Ovis aries: one gene and its partners. The protein of the gene in region 2 purifies or fractionates together with the protein of the main gene of each other region. This does not show direct contact. Links are inferred from orthologs where the notes say so. Each region holds a gene or a part of one and is shown on either strand. Other genes may lie near its edges.

Region 1 (3,336 bases), on a different chromosome or scaffold from region 2:
CTCTTCTAAGGTAAATGGAATGAGAGCTTCAACTTCTTGCCCAGGTGGCACTGGTGGCCCCAGGAGCAGCTCACTGGCCCCACCCCACCCCACCCTCTCTCAAGCAACACCAGGCTTAATGGGTGAAAAGGCTCCCCACTCCTACGCAGGGGAACAAAAACTTTTCCCTCCCTCCCACCCTGGAGAAGGTGAACACTAAATGCTGTTTTTTCCACATCTCAACTCTGACAACCCAGCCTGCTAATATTAATACATTCCCCACTATCTTAGCGGAAAGAAACCTCTCAATTCTTCATCACTTTGCTGACTGACAAACCACTGCTCTCTAATCCTACATCTGATACAAAAACTCAGGAGAAGGCAAAAATTGTCACAGATCAGTTAAAAACTCAGCACCTTGAAGAAAGAACAAAATGAGTGTCTAATGAAACAGTAAATTCTTCTAAGACAGGTTTAACTGGGAGGAAAAAAAACAGGAAAAAAAAAAGTCATACGAATAAATAGCAAATGAATGCTCAAACAAAAGTACCATCTCAGATTGTGTGGGGGCTTCCTGAGAATAAAGCATAGACCTAGTTGATTCATAGGTGTAAAGCTCAAAAAGCACTTGTTAGGAGCTCCCAAGCAGAAAAAAATTTTCAATTACCCCAATACCCTGAGACATATGGCAGAAAATCTCAAAATTCCTCTAAAGCAATGGTTCGTAACATTGGGTGCATATTAAAATCACACCAACAGCTCCTATGAAATACCAGTGCCTGGGTCCCACACCCAGAGCCCAACATGACTTAACTATCAAGTGTTCCACCTATCCCTTTAAAAAGCTCCCAGGAATTCTAATATGAAGCAGAGAACTGAAAACCACTGCTCTAAAGGGGCAGGAAAAAGAATTTATTCAGTAAAAGTATAAAGATAAGTCTGGCAATAATCAATATCAACAACTGTATTCTAGGTAGCAATACCTAGGAAGCTTCCACTCTGGGTTTAATGGAAACATTACAAAATCTCAAGGAAATATGATAAAATGTCAGGCACAGGGAAGCAGCAGATAAACAGCTGTTTCTTATTGTCTTAGTTTCCATATGAAATATTACACAAAAGACACAGAGTGACTGGTCGACCTGTGTGATGACGACTTTCAGGAGAAACAGAGAAAAAAGAACAAAAGAAAAGAAAGTGAGACAAAAATAAAATGAACAGATGAAGAAAAAGCAATCACCACAGAAATAACACATAATAGAAGAGGAGAAAGAAAAGACTCCTCCGGACTTAAAACCAACCAAAACAAAAAGTTTAAGGTCAAAAAGGTCCACACAAGGCCAGAAATATGTTTGAGAAGCAAAAAATCATTCTGATGAAACTGACCTTCATTAAAAAAAAAAATTTTAAATCCTACAAGCTCTTAGTCAAAGGCTAAAGTATTAAAAATTTACAAATGTGAAAACTCCCCATGAAAATACATGAAATGGATTCCAGGGAATTTACAGTTACAAAATACTATTCTGTGCTTATAATATTAGCACAATATTAATTAAAGTAGACATTCAATACATAAGAAAACTAATCATAATTTAAAGGAAAGTAATGACAAATCTGGAGATAAAAAAACAAAAGAACTGATAAAACCAAAAGCTACTTATTTGAAAAGATAAAGTACAAATTCCTGTCAGATTTAAGGACACAAACTAAAAGGTGTAGCTTGGAAAAAAAAAAAGAGCTTGGTGGATAATCTCACTGAATCAGCAGGTAACTCAGGGCAAGCCTCCCACACAGATCTGGAGCTGTTCGATGTCAACTTTACTGCACAACACTGACGGAGTATCAAGCAACCTAACACATCAGCTTGTATCTGGCTTTTCATTGGTGGGTAATTGTACCCATTCTATTGCTGTATTTGCTGACCTATTATCCTGTGACTTCAAACTACTAAATAAATTAAAAATAAAGCAATGTGACATCAATGAGGCTATGAATTCCAAAGTAACACAACATCTGAAGGTAATTTCTTAAAGTTTTATATATGTTTCTATAAATGATGGAGCTGTGACACAAGTAAAATATGTGAGATGGAATAACACTATTTTGAATTAATCATGTAATTATATATCTTCAATAAAATTTATTCTGCAAATCATCAATTCAGTTTAGGTGGTGGTGCTGTAATCTGTTATATGATAGATATCTAAGAATAGGAAAATACAGTATACCATAAACAAGGAAAAGGATTATTTTCTACAAATGATACCAAAACAGACCAAAACTAGAAAAACCACTGGAAAAGATGGGAAAGCTCACCAGTTATAAATTAGCACAACCCTTATATGAAAAATACAATCAAGGATAATGCAAAAATAGAAAACTTCAAAGTCATCTCCTAAACAATTACAGATGCACATCTTGAAATATTAGCAAATCAAAAGTATAACTAGAAGAACAATCCCAAAGTTACTCCAAAACTGGAGGGAGGGTTCTGCATTTCAGGATGGGCAAGACTAGCACAAGTGACAATGAATTAAGAGAAAATTCTTGGTGAGCGACAACCCTGCAACGAAGGACTCACCCTCCAGGGGTGCCCACTTCTGTAACACAGTCACTGAAGCCTCTCCTCCTAATCTTACCTTTGGATCCAAAAGCAAAATCCCCAGAGTTACTGGAAGCCAAGTCTGCAAATGACAGCCCTGTGCCACTTCCAAATCCAAACGTAACTGTTTTGCTTTCCACTGGCAAAGGAAAAGAGCAATTTTAGTATTTCATTTAACATATGTTGAACATCAAAGATTTACCCAGGACCCAAAGGGAAGGCGTATGTGTGTGTGTATGTTGGGAAGGGTAGGACCTGCTATGCTACTGATGTGGTGGGGTGGGGGTAAGGAGTATTTATAATCTAGTTATTTCTCCGAAGAAAACTTACAAGTTTACAGGTACTATTTATTCTCAATGAACAATACACCAGAAGCAGCATGCTTAAGATCATTTAAAAAAATGAGATGTAGATCTATACTAAGTCAGACAGAGAGCTACATAGCTTCTGCTTCACATGGTCTAGTATCATCTAAACAAACATTCATTCCAAGAAGGATTTCAGGAAATAGCTATGTAAAGATTCTGTGTTCACTAAGAAAATTGAATTACCTCATGCCCCTTTGTACATCTCAGTTTAAGAAAGGGAATTCCTGGATGTACATTTGAAAGTATCGTCTCAGAACCACTGTACCTTATGCAGAAATTCATGCCTACAAGGTTGCTATAAACATACATCAAATTTTACCTTGGCTTGTAGAATCTGCATCATTTTCCTTTCTAGTAGATAAATCCACAGGTTTGTCAACAGTTCCA
Region 2 (4,140 bases):
TTCCCTACCCACCTCTCCCTGGTAACCATAAGTTCACTCTCTAAGACTACCCCTACTCAAAATTTGATCACATCTTGAAAAGTCAATCACAATGATTACATCAGCTTTCAGTAAACAATACTTCTTTTGCCTATAAAGCACAAATGTCAGTTACAACTACGACCAATTGAAAGGCTTCTTTTAAGTCTTGTTCTCACCTCAAAACACTGAAATTCGAACTACCATATGATCCTGCAAATTCACTCCAATTATATATCCAGAAAAAAGAAAAAAAGTACTAATTTAAAAAGATGCATGCCTAAATGAGGAAGTGGGGATTAACATCTGCACACTACTATTATCTGAAACAGATAATCAACAAGGACCCACTGTATATAGCACAGGGAACTCTACCCAGTACTGTAATAACCTCCCTGAGAAAATAATCTGAAAAACAACAGATACATGTATAACTGAATCACTCTGCTGTAAATCAACTATACTCCAATATAAAGATTTTTCTTTAAAGCATCAAAACTAAGAAAAAGGGAAGAATACATATGAGCTTCACTTGTTTTCAGGTCAATTAAAAAAAAAAAGATACCTGCATCTCATTGTTCACAGCAACACTGTTTACAGAGGGAAAGATATGGAAGCAATCCAAATGAACATCAAGGGACTAATGGATAAAGATGTGGTATACACACACACACAACGGAATACTACTCAGCCATAAAAAAAGAATGAAATCTTGCCACTACAACAACATGAATGGACATGGAGGTTATTATACTTAGTAAAGTAAGTCGGAAAAAGACAAATACTGTCTGATATCACATATGTAAAAACTAAAACGAATATATTTAGCAAAACAGAAACAGACTCACAGATATAGATAACAAACTCCTGGTTATCAGTGGGAGAGGGAAAGCAGGAGGGGCAAGATAAGGTTATGGGATTAAGAGATACCAACTACTAATGCCACCCCACTCCAGTACTCTTGCCTGGAAAATCCCATGGACGGAGGAGCCTGGAAGGCTGCAGTCCATGGGGTCGCTGAAGGTTGGACACGACTGAGAGATTTCACTTTCCCTTTCATGCATTGGAGAAGGAAATGGCAACCCACTCCAGTGTTCTTGCCTGGAGAATCCCAGGGACGGGGGAGCCTGGTGGGCTGCCGTCTATGGGGTCGCACAGAGTTGGACACGACTGAAGCGACTTAGCAGCAGCAGCAGCAGCAGCAACTACTAAGTATAAAATGGATAGGCAACAATAATATATTATTGCACGGGGGGTGACAGCCATTATTTTGTAATAACTTTTAATGGGGTATAATCTATCATAATACTGAATCACTATGTTCCCTTTCATGTCATACCTGAAAACTAATATTATGTTGTAAATCAACCATATTAAAAAACTGCCACTCTGAAGTGAATGTTGAAGTGACCCAAGGGTAACTGGACACAACTCATTCTCCGAAAAGTCACCTGAAATCTGCTGTCTGCCCACCCACATCAACTTAACCCCAAGTGACCTCTTTCATATCCAGGTAAACCAATCATAATGATTACATTAACTTAATCAATACTCCTTTTGCCTACTGAGTACAAACATCAACTACAAGTATGATCAATCTAATGGTTTCTTTTATAAATTTTATTCTCAAACTCTGGAGTTCCTCTCAACTGTGGTGTGTAGAAATGGCTTCTGAAAAAGAGCCCTATGAAGTGAAGTGAAGTGAAGTCGCTCAGTCATGTCCGACTCTTTGCGACCCCATGGACTATAGCCTACCAGGCTTCTCCATCCATGGGATTTTCCAGGCAAGAATACTGGAGTGGGTTGCTATTTCCTTCTCCAGGGGATCTTCCCGACCCAGGAATCGAACCCGGGTTTCCTGCATTGCAGGCAGACACTTTACCCTCTGAGCCACCAGGGAAGCCCAGTACTCTGCAAACATTGAATCTCATGAAACGACCCTAGGGAAAAAATAGACGACTAGAAGGTGCAGTTAACATTTATCAATAAGTTTATCCGATGTCAGGCGCTCGACGCACACGATCTCGTTTTAATACAAACACACACACATGGAGACAAACTCAGGAGACAGGTACTGTTTCTATCCTCCTTCAGGGGATGGAAAATCAGGCCTGAGTGTTTAACTCACATATGATCGGCATGGCCAACAACCACTACTCTGGATCTAAACCCATTGTAGTGTTCTGGCTAAAACAGTGAGTTAAAGTGTAGGTCTAGAATATTAAAGCTAAAGCTGCGGACGGCGGGGGAGGGGGCAAGACCGACTGGACGCACGGTAGAAAATAGGGCACCGGCAGCCCAAGAACAGGGTACTGACTCACATTACTATAGCCGCCAAACTGAACTGACAGGCATCCACCACCCACAAAGTTCAAAGGAATCCAGTCACCTCACCGCCGAGCCACCCGCTCCGAGCCGCAGGTGCTCACAGCGCCAGGATTCTGGGGTCAACGAGCCGGGCACTCACCCTCGAGTTCAGCCAGGGCCCGGGCTGCCTCGCCCCGGGCCCGCGCCACTCACTGCCGTTCCCCGCGGACACCCGGCCCCTCGCGGCCTCCCGCCCCGGCGCTGCGGCCTAGGCCGGCGCTGCCCAGCGGGGCTCCAGATCGCCCCTCTCCCCGGCCCAAGGACCAGCACTGACCGTTGTATGACTTCCCCTCGTCCGCCATGGCACAGCTAGAAGCAGGGGCGGGCTGCGTCGCGGGCCGCCACTTAGCCAAACGTCCGAATGCCCAGGCGCTCTAGGTCGAAGTGCTCCTACGCCGGCTACCACCGCGTTTATAAGGAGACCGTGTCGCGCGCTGTCGACGTCCCACGATCATAGGCGGAGCCGCTGGGAGATGCGCGTGCGCATTCGACCAGCAGAGACACCGGGGCGGAGCTTGAGGCCGACGCTCCGCCCAGTAGTGATTAGTTTACTGATCCCCCTGATTAGTACTCGCACCTGCCCTCTGCTTTCATCGTCGGCCGGTAAGCAGCACCTCCAAGGTTGGCACTGAAGCAGAGATGGCCACTGCACCCCAGGGTTCAAAAAGAAAAAGGGAAGGAGGGCCACAAGAAGGGCTTCTGAGGAATGGGAGACCAGTGCCTTGGAGTGACCGCTTCAAGACCCCTAGGAGGATCCAGCCTGGGCTTAAGTCTCAGCTCAGCCCTTTGCCTTCTACAGATCTATGCCTTGCTTTCCTTGCCTATAAAATGAAATAGAAAACTAGAAGGTAAGCTCCAAGAGAGCAAGGAGTTGACTAATTCATGGCTTTTTTTTTTTTCTCCCCAGCACCTGGCTCAGTACCATACCTGGCATGTACCAGGAACTCAGCAAATATTATGAAATAAATTTCCAATCTATGCAACACCCCCCCCCCCAATAGTTGTGGAGTCAAATGAGAAAAACTGCATTTGTCAGGCTTTGATCATCTTCACAGATCACCCCACCCACCATCAATGTGCTGTGCTTAAACCCACATCGTGTGTCAACTAAAGTTAAGATGCAAGCAAGAGCACCCCCTGGACACAGGTCAAACGGAGAGCAAATACTAAAAGGCCAGGGCTAAGAAAGGCCAGGGCTCTCCTAGATAACTACCGCCCCCAACCCCAAGGTACTACAGCCAGCCCAGTGTGTGACTGTTGTCACTATAGCTTGAGCTTCCTTTGGGGTGTGTGAAATTGGGGTACTCCAGTGATCTCAGAATGATGTGGTTGTGGGTCCTGGTCAGGACTGACAAGCATATTGACCTTCCAGGGTAGGGTAGGTATTCCAGGCAGATCTCTACTTCATTCTCCTGTGACTGGTTTGGATTTGGTGAGGGGCTTCAAGAGGGGACCAAGAGCCTCAGCTGGAGCTGGGAACAAATTCTTCACCTTTCACTCCTGGCAGCAGGCAGAACTCCTGCTTCATCCAGCCCAAGGAAAACGGTAGGACTGGAAGATGCAGATGAAACAGGTCCAAATACTTCTGGAGATGGTCCTAGAAGTTACCACTAATCAGAGACCCACTCTGGGATCGTATACCCTGCTTTGAAGGGAATTTTCCATGATAATTAAGTACTGCTGCACTGGGTTAGGCCTGCTGGAAGCAGCTGTGTATACAGAGCCCAAAGCCTGGCCCCTCAGGGTCATCAGTCC
Region 3 (3,500 bases), on a different chromosome or scaffold from region 2:
ATGACTGAGATTTCGGACTTTTGGTGAAGAATAAATAGCACCTTGTTAAAGGAACGTAGTGCTTCGAAAGTAGTGGCTTTCTAACTATATTTTCTTTCTGCTTACTGAGAATTTAACATGTTCATGCCTCTGAGATTTGTGAAATCTTTGTATTTTATAAAAACTGTTTTTGAGTGCCTTTAACTTTGATGAATTTTTTTGTACCTGAAAGATTTATCTCTTCTTGAAGAGATTTGAATTATTTTATATGACTGTTTGAATGTAATTTAAAGTCTTAAATGTGAAAGATGGGTGAAATAGAGTAGTGCTATATGAGAAAAGATCCCTATATATCTTTCTTTGACTTTAGAAAAGACTATGGTTATATTGATACAGTTGTTAAATTATTTGTATTTAGAGCAATTTGGAAAAAAATAACTGAGGTTTGTTAGTGTCATTAATTTTATTTAGAAGTGTTGACAGTGTTCAGTTTATTTGATTTATTTGCTGTAGTTTCAATTCAGAATTGGAGTTGGAACTTCAGAGAAATTGTTTGAATATTTTTAAATGTGTATTTTTTGTCTGCTAATAATCTCCTTTTAACATATGTAAATAGGATCTGGAGTACATTTAGTTTCCTGATCTTCACATTGTTCTTTTGTGATATTAGAGCAGTGTGTTGTTTGTGAATTACCTTGGGACAGTTTGAAAGTGTTTTTGGAGATAATGAGACTTAGAACAGTGCAGAGGGAATTCCCTAGAGGTTCAATGGTTAGGACTCCAAGCTTACACTTGGGGCACGGTTTCCATCCCTGGTCCAGGAATTAAATCCCATAATCCCATGTGCCCCTTGGCATGACCAAAAAAAAAAGAGAGAACTATGTAGAAAGAAAAATAAGGTAACCCTGAATTGCTGTGCTAAACAAGCAGAGAACCAGTAGTGTTTTCTTTTTGTACTGTACCTTTATTATGGTACTTGTTTACTTATGGGTCTTTTGTGTTCATTATTTATATGCCGGTTTCCTTCACTAATTTTAAATTTATTGAGAGTAGTCATGTTTTACTTTTGTTTCTATTGTGGCACAGCCTGCCACATATATTCATCGTACCATAACTTATACTCAGTAAAGATTTGCTAACTTGAGATGAACTTAGAAATTTAGTTTATGAATGATTTATTATTTGATTGCCAATGGTTTTATTGAAAGGTGGTCATCTTTAAAACTGGAGACTTCTGTGTTTATAGAAGATAAATACAGATAATTTTTGTAAACAGGTTTTGCTTATTTACATATATTAGGAAAAGAAATACTATGAAAAATAGAAATTTTCATTAATTACTAGCTCTGTTTTGGTCTTTTGACTTCAGCTTTTCCTATGAAACTTTTCTTCACTGCTCCAAATATATTGGCTGATTTGAGCTTTTATATTCTTAGCATTATTATCCTTTTAAGGAAGTGCTTCCAAGGTAGAAAAGAAGTTAGGGACATAGGAAATCTGTCAACTAGAAAATGAGACTGAGTGATTGAGTCATTAATTTAAAATGAAGATAATCATCACATTTTGTCTATCACAGATGATATCATCAAATTGAATCGAAAGGAAGGAAAGAAGCAGAATTTCCCGAGATTAAATAGAAGACTTCAGCAAAGTGGTGCCAGGCAATTCAGGATGAGAGTAAGATGGGGTATTCAACAAAATTCTGGTAAGTTTTGCAAGTAAGCTTTAATAAAATGCCAATTATTTATGGGTTCATAGTATACTATCTTTGATATGTATTTAAAACATGGAGGGAATATATCAGTGATTTATGTTTTTCCTTCTCTCAGGGTTTTGTTTAATCTTATAATCTGGTAGCAATTCAGGTTTCCTTAAATAGGTGATTAACCGTGTGTCCTAAAAACATTAAGTCATTTTAAAGTAACCTCGGTATATAAAGTCTTTGTTATTTTTAGGGATAAAGATTTGTAAAGGATCTTCCATACCATAAAGTCTTAGTCCCCTTTGCGGTTAGATGTTAGTCTGTCTGATGGATGACTGTTTAACTCTAGCTTAAATACATTCAGTGGGAGAACATACCACCTCACAAGATAACTTATTCCATTATTGGAGACACACTGTTTACTAGAAAATTCTCTTAATTTGAATTAAATCATGCCTTCCTGTTAATTCTATAGTTATAGGAAACAAATTACCTTTCTTATATGAAAACCTTTTAAATACATGGAGACTGCTGTTTTGCACAGAAAATTATTTCTAGGTTACTTATCTTATGCAGGACCTTTAAGATTTGTTAAATTCTCCAAAGGTAAAACAGAATTGAATGCTTTAGATGTGGTCTGTTATTTTGGAACTCTACATATACAGTTATTTTTAGTAATCTAGAAGCTTATTTATTTATAACATCTTGTTCCAAAATGGACTTAAGGCAGTAAGGGAATACTATTAATTATATGTGACTCATTAACTTTGTTAGCAATTACATCAGCATTTTAGAATAAACATTTGTTCAGATTTTTAAAACTCAAGATCTTTTTTACACATGTGCAAAAAGTTTGATAAACTAATTCCTAAGTTGATTTTTGTCCTATATGTTAAAAAAACAACAAGTAATCTCCAATAGATTGAACATAATTAATCCTACGTTTAACAACTGATATGCCAACATAACCTCAACATATACCTGTAACTAAAATTAGACTGTACAGAAAAATTTATTCTTCCCTAATAATTTTCTTGGATAGCTGGACTCAAGAGAATAAATCTTGTGACAGGTATTTAGCTATAGAAAATTAATATTTAATTCCAGTGATTTATATTTTGAGGTTTCTTTATAAATGTTACTCAACATACCATAATTAAGTATGATTTATATTAAAATAATTTTAGAGTTCATAGAAGCCAGAAATACATTTGTTTATGTTAATCATTTGTTAAATACCTGATAAATACTCTGAACTGACCAGCTTGTTTGGGTTTGTAAAGACACAGTCTTTTACTTCAAGGAACTTCTGGTGACAGATAAGGAAAAACACTTGAGTTGAGAAATATCATAAGAGAAATTCTGATAGTACTATAGGATTTTAGATAGGCATTTTGTGCTAAGATAATCGGTGGTAATTTAATCAATAAGGTGAAATAGGATCTCCTTCATGAAGGATCAGAAAAGCTTTCCTTTTACAGAGTTTATGATCTCAGCGTTGAGCTAAAGATCTGCAAGTGCCTTAGGATCTTTTAAGATTGAATTTGTGCTTGTATGTTCTCCACTTCCATGTGACAGGGCCTAAAATAGAACAGCTGCTCCTGTCACTGAATGTTCAGAGAGAGATGGGATTTTCTTAAGCTCTGATTGGTTTGGATAAGTTCAGATTTCCACATTGTAATGTCAGTGAGAATGTTAGGTTGAGGTAACAGAATAAGCAGAGAGCCCTTACCAAATAATCATTTATTTTTGATGACTGAACACATAAGAGAATAAAGTTTTCACAATTCTATTCCTGAAATGTAATTTAGTCACTCAA
Region 4 (3,500 bases), on a different chromosome or scaffold from region 2:
GTTGCCACCCACAAACAGGAGGCTACATTTATTCCTTCTCAACAATAAAATAAGAGCCAGTTTCCCTATACCTTTGTTAATCTTAGGTATATTAAGATCTCTTAGGATCTTAAACAGTTACAATATTTTCAGATTATACAGAAAACATATCTTTAAAAGTCATGTAGTAGTTCATGGGGAAAGTTTCTAAGCAACTTCGTGTTTTTCAGATGTCTAAAGACACATCAAAGAAAGCATGGTTTGCTTTTAAAGCATTTACTAGCTGTTGGGTGGATAATGAAATTTCCTTAAAATATAGATACCAAAAACCTGTATCACCATCTATTTGCCTGTTTTCTTTTCCCCCAGTGTTCCTGATTTCTAAATCCTTCATTATTTTTTTAATTGTTAATTTTAAGTGAAGTGTTTCAGGCTATTTAATTTTATGCTCCCTCTCTCCCCTTTCTTTTAATTAAAATAGTTCCTGAATGTTCCAATGTTTCGAAATGTCTCTCTGAAGTGCCTCACTGAGATTGCTGGTGTGAGTGTAAGCCAGTATGAGGAGCAATTTGTAACGCTGTTTACGCTGACAATGATGCAGCTAAAACAGGTAATGTAACCCTCTTATTAAACTGACTAAACAATTTTAGTGCCTTAGAAAAAGTTGGATTTCAGTTGAACCATTTCACCACAGCTTAGCATAAATAGATCAGTGCAATTCTGTGTTTATTATATAAAATGAAGGGTAAGCTAGAAATTTTGAGAATCCTTGAAATGTTCTGGGAATGTTTTGATATGTAATTTCTGCAGAATTTAAAGTTTTGGTTACCTGGGGTTTAATATTCTGCCTTTGACCTTTCCATCTTTTAAATTAAAGGAATTGGCTAAGTCCTAGGTTGACTAAGTATATATGAAATTATCTAGAAGGTTAATCATAAAACTACATTGCTACGTAATATATTTGTAATCTGAATCAACTATATATTTGAACATTTTTAATAACACCAAGGTGGGAAAACTGATTTAGGAAAAATTTCAAAGGATTGTCTTTGAGGAAATCTTACTATGCTTTTGATTTTAAAAAAAAAGCTAGGACTGAAAGGTACAAAAATGGATATAATAGACCAAGGCATTTTATTGAAAGATAACTATTTATTATGTTTTAAAATTCATAAAATGTGATGGAAATTTAGAACTTAAATGTAGTAACTTTGTTGTTATTTTGAAGGCTTATCCATATTTAAATTTGCAGATGCTTCCTCTAAATACCAATATTCGACTTGCATACTCAAATGGAAAGGATGATGAACAGAACTTTATTCAAAATCTCAGTTTGTTTCTCTGCACCTTTCTTAAAGAACATGGTCAACTTATAGAAAAAAGATTAAATCTCAGGGAAACACTCATGGAGGTAGGCTTTGTGGAGCTTTTGGCTTCTGAAATTAATAATAATTGAAACTGCTTTTGTTCTAAAATTCTTTTGACATACTCTTTGACATATCTTATTGTTTGTCTGCACAATACAATACATGCTCTCAATTCTGGATTCTAGTCAGAAGCCAAGTGTCCTGATTTCTGTGTTCTATTCAATGTCAGATCAGTAATTTATAATGAAAATTAAATTCCAATAAGTGTGCATATGTGTCATTTCTGAGAGGCAAAGTCTAAAAACCTTATTGTAAAATAGAGGTGTAATAACATACAACTTTCAGGTCGCATGAGTGGCATTTAGTGCATTCACAGTGCTTTCAACCATCTCTCTAGTCTGAAACATTTTGTCATTACCCACAAAGGATAAGGTACCCATTGAAACAAGTCATTCCGTTCTGCTCTTCCCTCCAGTCCCTAGCAACAAGTAATTTGCTTTACAACTCAATGGATTTACCTATTCTAAACCTTTCATATAATTGGAATTATAATGTGTGGACTTCTGTTACTGCTTTCTTTCACTTAACATGTTACCATGTTATATAGCATACGTCAGTACTTCATCCCTTTCATGCCGAATAATATCCCTTTATATGGATATACCTCATTTTTTGTGTCCGTTCATCTGTTGAACATTTGAGTTATTTCTCCCTTTTTGCTATTACCAAATATCGTTTGATGTCCATACTTTTTAACAATCATGTAAGTTTCTTAGCATGTTCTAGGACATGTCAGAAGAAAGTGCACTTTGCTCCTATACAATTTCTATTGTATATTTGATAAATGGTGAAACTTCAGAGTGTACAAAAAGCAATATGAATTTTTATTTCCCATTAACATAGCAAATGGAAAACAGTTTGAGGTTGTTAGTAATGTCTAAGGATTGTTTTAATAGTTTTGGTATTCTGTGTAGGCCCTTCATTATATGTTGTTGGTATCCGAAGTAGAGGAAACTGAAATCTTTAAGATTTGTCTTGAGTACTGGAATCACCTGGCAGCTGAACTCTATAGAGAAAGCCCGTTCTCAACATCTGCCTCTCCGTTGCTATCTGGAAGTCAGCATTTTGATGTTCCTCCTAGGAGACAGCTCTATTTGCCTGTATTGTCCAAGGTAACAACAGTGTGTGGTTGAGTGTGCTTTCTCTGATTTTGGAGGACCAGATGAAAATGCTGGCTTTTATTTTTTGGCTGATTCTATCCAAGCACAATCTGTGAGTTTGTTAGAAATGCAAATGAGATGAAGGAAAGTTAACAGTTGTTTTTGTCCATGTTTAGATTGAAATTTATTGTAGAATTACATTTTAAGTATGTTTATTGTTTTATATTGTGGGCATGATTGTGTTTGGTATGTTGGTGTTAAGTGCCATTTTTTGAGAGTGGGAGTTATATTTGATGTAACTAATTTCAGAGATCTAACAGATTTTTTTTTTTTAATTGCTGAATAGGTCCGTTTATTAATGGTTAGTAGAATGGCTAAACCAGAGGAAGTATTAGTTGTAGAAAATGATCAGGGAGAAGTTGTAAGAGAATTCATGAAGGATACAGATTCCATAAATTTGTATAAGAATATGAGAGAAACATTAGGTAAGTTAATAAATACTATTAATTTAATCCTTATTTTTAAAATTGTATTCTTTTGTGGAAATACTGTTTAGGAAACATGCTTAGTTTCTGAGTCTGTCAATAGCCATCCTTATTAGAGTGCTGTTGGTCTTAGTAAAAATCTTTTTGCTCATTAAGTTTTGGATTTTAAAACGTGGAATTTTTTTCTTTCCTGTAGTTTATCTTACTCATCTGGATTATGTAGATACAGAAAGAATAATGACTGAGAAGCTTCACAATCAAGTGAATGGTACGGAGTGGTCATGGAAGAATTTGAATACATTGTGTTGGGCAATAGGCTCCATTAGTGGAGCAATGCATGAAGAGGATGAAAAGCGATTTCTTGTTACTGTTATAAAGGTATGTAAGAGATAGGTGTGAACTAGAACCTTGTTAGTGTATTTTACTATAAATGACTGAAATTTTTCTTACTTTACAGGACCTATTAGGATTATGTGAACAGAAAAGAGGCAAAGATAATAAAGCTATTA
Region 5 (4,242 bases), on a different chromosome or scaffold from region 2:
GACCTAAACATTAAATCAAAGTAATTTCAATTTGATTCCAATTAAACTTCACCACTACTTACAAGTTGAAATTTAAACAAGATCTCTCACCTCCTTCCCCTGCTCCTGCTGCGTGAGCGAGAGTATCGTCTACCTCTGGATCTCGAATGTGATCTAGACCGTGACCTATTTTTCAAGTCAGAAAAAAACATAATATTAGATGGCAACTCCTCTTAGAGTCTGTGTGCCTCTGCTGAAACCAAATCTCAAAACTATTTAAATTTAGTGTCTCATTTGGAAATAAACTCTGGGCCTATTAGTTGTCGTTTTTTTTTTTTTTAAACTACCTAAAAAAAGATTTGTTAAAAGCTCAATTACATTTTAGATTAACATAATATAAAACACTGTAATGTGTATTTAAAATAAACCTTGCAAGTTTGCAGGTCGACCCTCTTTGGCCCATGGTCTAGTAGATCTAGACGATCTAGAAGTATCTATAGCCGATCGCTGCATCTAGATGTTTTCTTCAATCTACACGACGATCAAACTGACAGCCAAATGAGCCAGGTGAGGCTTGATTGACGCAAGAAGATTTTTCTAGTTGGGAATGTGGTCAATCTGGTGTTCCTCTTTCTAAACCGGAGGGGCCCCCAATTGTAAGCCAAATTTACTGTTACGGCGATCACCGTCTCAAATTTTCTGCCCTTTAAAGAATAAGGTGAAGCTAGGTGTAGATGACTCGAGGGGATCTGGCCTCTTATGCTGATCACCTCAAGGTCTAGGAGGATCTTAATTGTCGGATTTGCAAGGCGCCTCAGCATGATATCATAAGGCTCGTGACATTCTGAATCAAGGCGACTGACTCAAACGAAGAAACCTGAAAGGTTTTGACCAGGTTGATTATTAATACATTAACATTTCTTTAATTAAACAAAAATTGTAAAATACACCTGTAACAATTAACATTCAAGTTTACAGAAAAATACGTTTGTGCCTTGCTAATAAAAAAATTACTTGATTAACTAGTACACTAACCATTCCTTTATTAAAATAAATACCTGCTTCTTCTTCGGCGGCTATAGCGATGACAATCATAAGCATAATGTCCCTTTTCGCCACACTCATAGCATCTATCATTGGGATCAAAGGGACGTCGGGCAGGTGGTCTATCAAATCGAGATCTCCGAGGCATGCCTGTTGATAGTTCAACTCTCACTCGGGAACCACAAATAACTCTACAAAAAACAACAACAAAACTGTAACGCCAAAAAAAAAAAAGGTGAGCTCTATATTTAGCACTTTCCAACCACTCTCTTTGCCCTCAGAAGCTCCAACTATATAAGTCCTTCAAACTTCACTTTTGCTTTCATTTCCTGTCTTCATAAAGTGATCAGCTAATTATTTAAAAACTCCTCCAGACTACAAAATTCAAGCCTGACACAGGAACATTCTCACCAAGATCTCACTTACTTTCCATCCAGGCCTCGAACTGCATCTTCTGCATCTCTAGGGTCTTCAAATTCCACAAAAGCAAATCCTGGAGGATTTCTGGCAATCCACACAGTTCTCAAAGGCCCATAATAACTGAAAGCCCTTTCTAACTCTCCTTTGCCAGCACCAGTTCCCAGGTTACCAACATACACCTTGGTTTCTGTTTAAAAAACGCAAAGGAAAGAGTGCACATTATGCAAATAATCTGGCCCAAGTTTGAATTTTTTACATATATTCTTTTTTACAGTGCAAAACATTTAATACTCTATCAAGGGCTAATGTTAGTCTTTAAACCAGCGAAGTTCGTAACATTTCTGAAAAGCTAAGCGTACGACCAAGTTCTTAACATTCAATGGAGGGGGGAGCCCCGCGGGAAACCTCCAAATACGAGCACCGCAGCGTGGTAGGATACTCCGAGGCGTGGAGCGGACTCCGCCCCGGTCCCGCCCCTGAGTCCCGGCAGCCCCAGGCACACCGAGAACGCGCGGGCCGGCGGCGGCAGCGGCGTTCTCGGTGAGCGGGCCCCAGCGGAAGGCGGAACGGGAGCGGGGCTGCGCCGACTCCAGTACTCTGCAGCAGGCGCCCCAGGCGCAGGCTCGCCCGTGACTCCAGCTCCCCGCCTCAGAAGCCATAAACCATGCTCGAAAAAGCCAAGAGAGAAAAACCAGCCGCCAGACTTAAAAATCACGCTTCCATGCCCACTCAGCAATCAGACCGTTTGACGAGAATGCGTAGCTCGAAGCTGCCAGTTTTCTAAGTCTTAAATTCATCCTTTCTTTTACGGCTGCGACCACATCTGTCAGCTAAAGTGGCGGGAAAGCGCCAAAGAAATGCGCCACCATGGTCGTCAATGTGCGCAAAATGGCAGCCGAGGGCGGGGGGGGAGGGTGGGGGACGGGCGGGCAGGCGGGCAGCTCGAAGAAGGGCAACAACAAACAGTGATCGAGGGGCTGGCTCGGGCTGGGCGGGAGACTAAGATGCCCAAGAACTGAAAGATACCCGCCGGAAACCTACCCCAGCCACCCGCCGTCCTCCTGCGAAACCCCGCGGCCGCCGCCTCCAGCTTCGTATGGTGTGCGCCGAAGCCGCCATTACGCACGCGGAATAACCGTCTCCCAACCGCCGCGCCAACCTCACGACCTCTAAATACTCACTACACCCACAGCAACCTCCCTTCCTGGCCTCCAGCCTCTTACCTCCTCCGTACCGCCCGTAGCGCGACATGATGACTGGCCTGCGAGCTGGGCTCTTTCAGCTCGCAGCGCCCAGAGAACGATCAATACAAAACCAACCAAACCGCCTCACACGCCAACGGTCCCGGCGGCACTACGAGGAAGCGCCTGGGTTCGCGCTTATATATGCGGCGGCTGGGTTCCGTTGCGCATGCGTCATCTCGACGTTCTGCGCGGCACAAAGGAGCTGGGCGGAAACAGCAGAGAAGCGGTGCGTAGGTAACTGATGGGGTTGAAACGCGAATCCTGGGCGGAGGGATACGTTTCCGTGGCAACGCGGAGATCCTGTCTGTAAACCCTTGGCCCTTCCCCGCGTTGTCCCGCCCTCCCCCCGCCTTTTCCCTGTGTTCCCCTCATGTTCCTTCCCTCATTCTCCTCCCCCCCCCCCGCCTTCATTTACCCTCCCTCGCATCTAGGGACCCTTAGCTGTGGTAATCTTCTTTCAGGCCTCATGAAAGGTGTAAGATTTAACCGCTGATGTTGCTGCTGCCGCCGCCTTTCTGCTAGGGGACCTGACCTCGACTGCTACTCATTGATCTTTGGGGCTCGTCAGAGGTAATCGGGAGCTTGGGACAGAGTGAGAACCACCTACACCCCGACTGTCTGAGTAGTGGTCCTCAAAACCACCATGGGCCTCAAAAGGGGTGACGCCCCCAAGGGACCGGCAGCCCTGAACCGACCCTTCTGCCCCTTCCGAACCGGCCACCAGTTTTCCCCAACACGGTCCGAGTTCTCGGAGTCAGGAGGACAAAGAAGTAGAGGGTCCCCCCACCCACCTCTTTTTATTGAAATCGTGACATAATCCTAAATCTTTAAATCATTTGTGGTAGTGGCAATTCTGAAACCATTTGCATTTGACGCACAAAGTGTTATCTGTGCCCCCTTTCTAGTGCTTTCTGCTTTGCACTGTAGTACCACATCTCATCCACTAATATTGTATCCTGAGGATGGGGAGTTTCTTAAGTTGTCTCTGAGTAAGCAGCCTTGCTGCTCAGTCATTCTGTATATCAAATAAATGAAAATCTTTTCTTTGTTAGAATCGCTTAAAAGTGCAGTTTCAATTTTATACAGTGTATTTGCCAGACACCAGCTCTATAAATACAGATTTCACTTTTTTACCATCCAGTTAAAAAAAAGCATTGCACTGTAAATACTTGGAATACATGAGTTGCAAATGTCCCACAAAACAAGAGGAAATTCTTAGGTATTTCTATTTTTTTTTCCTTTTTCATCTGCTGTATGTAACTTCACTTGGTATGTATAGATGTGGGATACGCAGTACAGGAGAAAGGGGACTTAGTTAAATTAGCATGTCTTCAGGTAAATAAAAAATGAATTATCTGAGAGTAATGCTAAGGTTTTACATTATTGCCATAACTTTTCAAATTATGGAAGGAATTGGTCTACCTCAAGAAAATCTCTAGTGAGAAAATAGAAGTTTCATCGTTTGTTATGTTTGTTCTCCCTTATTTTTTTTTTTTTGTTATCTACTTAACAGAGTTCTTCCTAAAAGTATTAAGCAATACCGATCCTTTACATA
Region 6 (3,500 bases), on a different chromosome or scaffold from region 2:
CCAGGGCAGTGACGCCGGGGTGGTTGATGCCGTTCTGGGGCATGTGGACCTCCTCCAGAGTCCCGATGATCTGCCAGGGGCAGGAAGGAGAGCAGTGGGCCCCGAGGTGTGGGGCGGGGCCAGGGGACACCCCGCGGGCAAGAGGGCAGTACCACCCACCAGGCATGGGAGGGGCTTGTCTGTCGGGGCACAACCACACCTGATCCTCTCCAGTCTCACGAGGGAGACCTACCTGGGATTAGGACCATCACCAGACAGATGACTGAGATCAGAGGGGCTAAGTCACTGGCCCAGGGCCACAGCTCTGAGCACTGGCGTCTCTGTCTGGCACCTCTGCACTGCAGGGACCCTGGGCTCTGGCCTGCAGTCAGCCCAGGCCCTGCTCTGTATAATGCAGCGCCGCTTGGCCTTTCTTCATGGGGATCCTGCTGCCTTATTTACAGAGTACGAGTGGCAGCCCACGTTCTGCATCCTTTTCTGGGAGTGAGGGGGCTTCCTGAACCTAGCGAACCCCCTCATTCCAGTCTTCCCTACCTCCTTTTCTCTGCCTGGAACACTCTGTCTCCTCCTTTTGCTGGCATTTTCTTGACAGGCTGATCCTCATGTGTTCAACAGCTCTCATTTTGGATGCCTCCTCCCCCAGGAAGAGTTCCTGGATTACCCTACCCCAACCCCCACCCCCAGCACAACCCAGCACTCTTCCTCTCTGCCCCCAGAGTGCCTCATCCTTGCCCTCTCACGGTGTTCATCCCTCTGAAGTGTCAAAGCCACCTTCCTGTCTGCATCCCAACAGCCCCCAAGATCTCAAGGAGAGGCCCACGACCCAGTCTCCAACACCACCCTGGAGGGGCTGAGGACAGGCCTGGCCTAACTCTGTACCCAGGCACCTTGTCGGCTCTGGGTGCCCAGCACAGCATGGGGATTCACAAATGAACACAGGCAGCCCAACTGAGGCACATTCCAAGTCAGGGCTCTTAATATTTTCTGTGCCACGGACCATCGGGCAACCTGGTAAAGCCCCAGGGCTCACCTTCTGGATGTTTTTAAATTTTAAGCTAACTTATACAGACTAACAAATCAATTCAACTGGAAGACAAGTATCAAAACATTTAGAAAACTGCCTAAATGTCTGCTGTAGTCATACACATACCTCTTAATAAGACCTTGGTGTACCCTGGTGTACCATTAACCTTAATGTATGAGAAACAAATAACTCTGTCTATCCACAACTGCTATCATTTGACATGAAGATACCTGTGATTTCTCCTGGTAACAAAGCCACAAGAATTTCTGAAGCTGAAGTTTACTGTCCACATTCACCATGGAAGGTAAATGCTGCATTTTATTAGCTCTGGTAGTGAAACAATCATGCAATATCCCCCTGGCCGCGTTCAAAGCCTTCCTGAGCTCTATTCACAGACCAGTGGGGTCCCACAGCGTGCATGCTTGGTCATGCCCAACTCTATGCAACACCACGGACCATAGCCCACCAGGCTCCTCTGTCCGTGGGATTTTCCAGGCAAGAATATTGGCGCGGGTTGCCATTTCCTACTCGAGGGGATCTTCCTGACCCAGGGATCGAACCCAGTCTCCTGTGTCTCCTGCATTAGAAGACAGACTCTCTACCACTGAGCCGCCGGGGAAGTCCACGGAGCTGACCTAGACGCCCTGCCCTGAAGGACGCCTGAGAGCGCCCGCTCCAGCTGCTGCTCCTGCCCTCCTCCCGGGCTCATGGGCCAGCTTCACGGGCTCCATCCCAGCACCCTCCTCACTGGAGCCAGAGACTGCGACCCCACAGGCCGGGGCCAGCACTCAGGCTGCTCTGGCACTGCCGCTCGTTCCCCAGACTGGCAGGTCACAAACAGCACTGATGACTCACCCCAGAAGGCGGATCACGCCACCTTTCAGACCTGAGTGATGAGGATCCTGTCCCGAGAGGGTGAGCTAGCAGCCTCGGAGGGGGAGGCGAGCCGCCCGAGGTCTCTTGGCCAAGTTCTAGCGTCCGCCGGCCATGCTCAGCCTGCCCCAGGGCAGGGAGGGCAGAAACCACTCACCCCGAAAGCTTCTGCCAAGGCGGTGGCTCCGTCATTCTCCAGACGGTTTCTGCCGGCCACGAAGACCTTCAGTGCCAGCGGCTTGCCTTGGGCACTGGACTTCCGATGGCACTCGGTCAGAGCTGCTGCCAGGATCTGGGGGAGGCAGGAGGCCCTGGTCTCCAACGTGCCGCACCAGCCACATCCCGGGTGGATGCGGGACGACAAACGGCCCAGCAGCAAGCCCCTCAGCTGGGCCCAGCAATTTGCAGGAACACGGGCTGTGACATCCACCTCTGTGTCCGCCTGTCCCGTCAGCCTGTGGGGCTTAGCCCCATGGTAGGGACGGGGAGAGGGAGACATCAACACCGAGTGATGTGGGCAAGGGGCTTCATGGTCGGCCCACTGCAGCGCCACGACCCTCTGTCAGGTGGGCACCATAACTCCCACACTCTGGCTGAAGGAACTTCGGCTCAGAAAGAGACAGAAACTTTCCCGCAGATACCACACAAGCAGCACACCCTGGACGGAACCCGAACCTTCTGGCATCTCCTCCACGCTCCGCAAGGCCTCAGGGGAGCCAGCCAAGAGGGCAGGGCTCACCCCACCATGACCCAGCTGACACCCGCCCAGGCTCCGCCCAGCCATGCAGCGGGGGCTCAGCTCCTGGGAGTAAAAACCTAAAACCGGGTTTGCCCTGACCCTGGGGTGGTGCCAGGAGGCGGCCTCTATCTAGTGACACCAACAGAGCGAGAGGTCACAAGTACCAGTCGGCTGGTGGGTTGGAAGTGGAGAGACCGCAGTATAGAGAATAGAAATGGCTCTCGGGCAGTGCAGCAGCAGAGACGCTCACACACACCTGCCAGGCCCTGAGCGCTCCCGGCCAAGATGCTCTCACACCTCATTCAACCTCAAAACCAGCCAGGAGACAGAAGGTATTAGCCTTGCTCTACAACGAGGCAGCGGGGTCAGTGTGGCTGCATACAGCTCTACTCTGGGGCACATACAGGACCCGGGACACCGCCAGCTTGACCCTGCGACGGCGGGGGTCGGGCGTGTGCTCAGGTCAGAGCCCGGCGACTCTTGCTACAGGCCAGCCTGAGGGATCTGCAGAGGCGGCTCTACTCCGGGTGGGGCTGGACTGGTCTCCTGTGGTGAGGCAAACACTGTTGCCTTAACACACAGCTTACTGCCCCTAGACCAGAGGCGTGCGGGCTGAGACGGTCCAGCATGAGCTGCCCACCCTCCCATGGGGCAGGAGGCGATAGGCCATGTGCAGGGCAGGCCACCTCAAGCACACACAGGCGCCTCCAGCTGCTCTGACTGGCCACGGGGATGCTGGTTCAAATCCCACATCTGGCCCATGCTAGCTACATCATCTGAGGCACTCAACCCAAGAGCTCTAAGCTCAAGTGCCGTTACCTGAAAAGGCAGGGACAGTGTCACCCACCTCTCAGTAAGCGGGGA

Evidence for each region.
Region 1: the proteins of NXF1 (region 2) and E3 SUMO-protein ligase RanBP2 purify together in Homo sapiens (co-immunoprecipitation; 5 studies listed by BioGRID and IntAct, with this or other methods). This does not show direct contact. The link is inferred for Ovis aries from reciprocal best matches to the Homo sapiens genes NXF1 and RANBP2.
Region 3: the proteins of NXF1 (region 2) and FYTTD1 purify together in Homo sapiens (affinity purification with western blotting; 3 studies listed by BioGRID and IntAct, with this or other methods). This does not show direct contact. The link is inferred for Ovis aries from reciprocal best matches to the Homo sapiens genes NXF1 and FYTTD1.
Region 4: the proteins of NXF1 (region 2) and XPO1 purify together in Homo sapiens (affinity purification with mass spectrometry; 3 studies listed by BioGRID and IntAct, with this or other methods). This does not show direct contact. The link is inferred for Ovis aries from reciprocal best matches to the Homo sapiens genes NXF1 and XPO1.
Region 5: the proteins of NXF1 (region 2) and SRSF7 purify together in Homo sapiens (affinity purification with western blotting; 3 studies listed by BioGRID and IntAct, with this or other methods). This does not show direct contact. The link is inferred for Ovis aries from reciprocal best matches to the Homo sapiens genes NXF1 and SRSF7.
Region 6: the proteins of NXF1 (region 2) and RANGAP1 purify together in Homo sapiens (co-immunoprecipitation; 3 studies listed by BioGRID and IntAct, with this or other methods). This does not show direct contact. The link is inferred for Ovis aries from reciprocal best matches to the Homo sapiens genes NXF1 and RANGAP1.

What each region holds. Positions count from the first base shown.
Region 1 is NC_056056.1:62,089,397-62,092,732, reverse strand, and holds part of E3 SUMO-protein ligase RanBP2, read right to left. Parts: coding exon 3,269-3,336; intron 2,721-3,268; coding exon 2,619-2,720; intron 1-2,618. UniProt on the Homo sapiens protein: E3 SUMO-protein ligase which facilitates SUMO1 and SUMO2 conjugation by UBE2I. Involved in transport factor (Ran-GTP, karyopherin)-mediated protein import via the F-G repeat-containing domain which acts as a docking site for substrates.
Region 2 is NC_056074.1:37,645,512-37,649,651, forward strand, and holds the start of NXF1 (nuclear RNA export factor 1), read right to left. Parts: upstream 2,801-4,140; 5' UTR 2,688-2,800; coding exon 2,660-2,687; intron 1-2,659.
Region 3 is NC_056054.1:191,214,674-191,218,173, reverse strand, and holds part of FYTTD1 (UAP56-interacting factor), read left to right. Parts: intron 1-1,555; coding exon 1,556-1,684; intron 1,685-3,500. UniProt on the Homo sapiens protein: Required for mRNA export from the nucleus to the cytoplasm. Acts as an adapter that uses the DDX39B/UAP56-NFX1 pathway to ensure efficient mRNA export and delivering to the nuclear pore.
Region 4 is NC_056056.1:46,606,438-46,609,937, forward strand, and holds part of XPO1 (exportin-1), read left to right. Parts: intron 1-460; coding exon 461-589; intron 590-1,231; coding exon 1,232-1,390; intron 1,391-2,320; coding exon 2,321-2,518; intron 2,519-2,852; coding exon 2,853-2,991; intron 2,992-3,187; coding exon 3,188-3,369; intron 3,370-3,448; coding exon 3,449-3,500. UniProt on the Homo sapiens protein: Mediates the nuclear export of cellular proteins (cargos) bearing a leucine-rich nuclear export signal (NES) and of RNAs.
Region 5 is NC_056056.1:85,423,837-85,428,078, reverse strand, and holds the start of SRSF7 (serine/arginine-rich splicing factor 7), read right to left. Parts: upstream 2,801-4,242; 5' UTR 2,695-2,800; coding exon 2,667-2,694; intron 1,631-2,666; coding exon 1,450-1,630; intron 1,215-1,449; coding exon 1,038-1,214; intron 166-1,037; coding exon 91-165; intron 4-90; coding exon 1-3.
Region 6 is NC_056056.1:218,235,226-218,238,725, forward strand, and holds part of RANGAP1 (ran GTPase-activating protein 1), read right to left. Parts: intron 2,190-3,500; coding exon 2,055-2,189; intron 71-2,054; coding exon 1-70. UniProt on the Homo sapiens protein: GTPase activator for RAN. Converts cytoplasmic GTP-bound RAN to GDP-bound RAN, which is essential for RAN-mediated nuclear import and export. Mediates dissociation of cargo from nuclear export complexes containing XPO1, RAN and RANBP2 after nuclear export.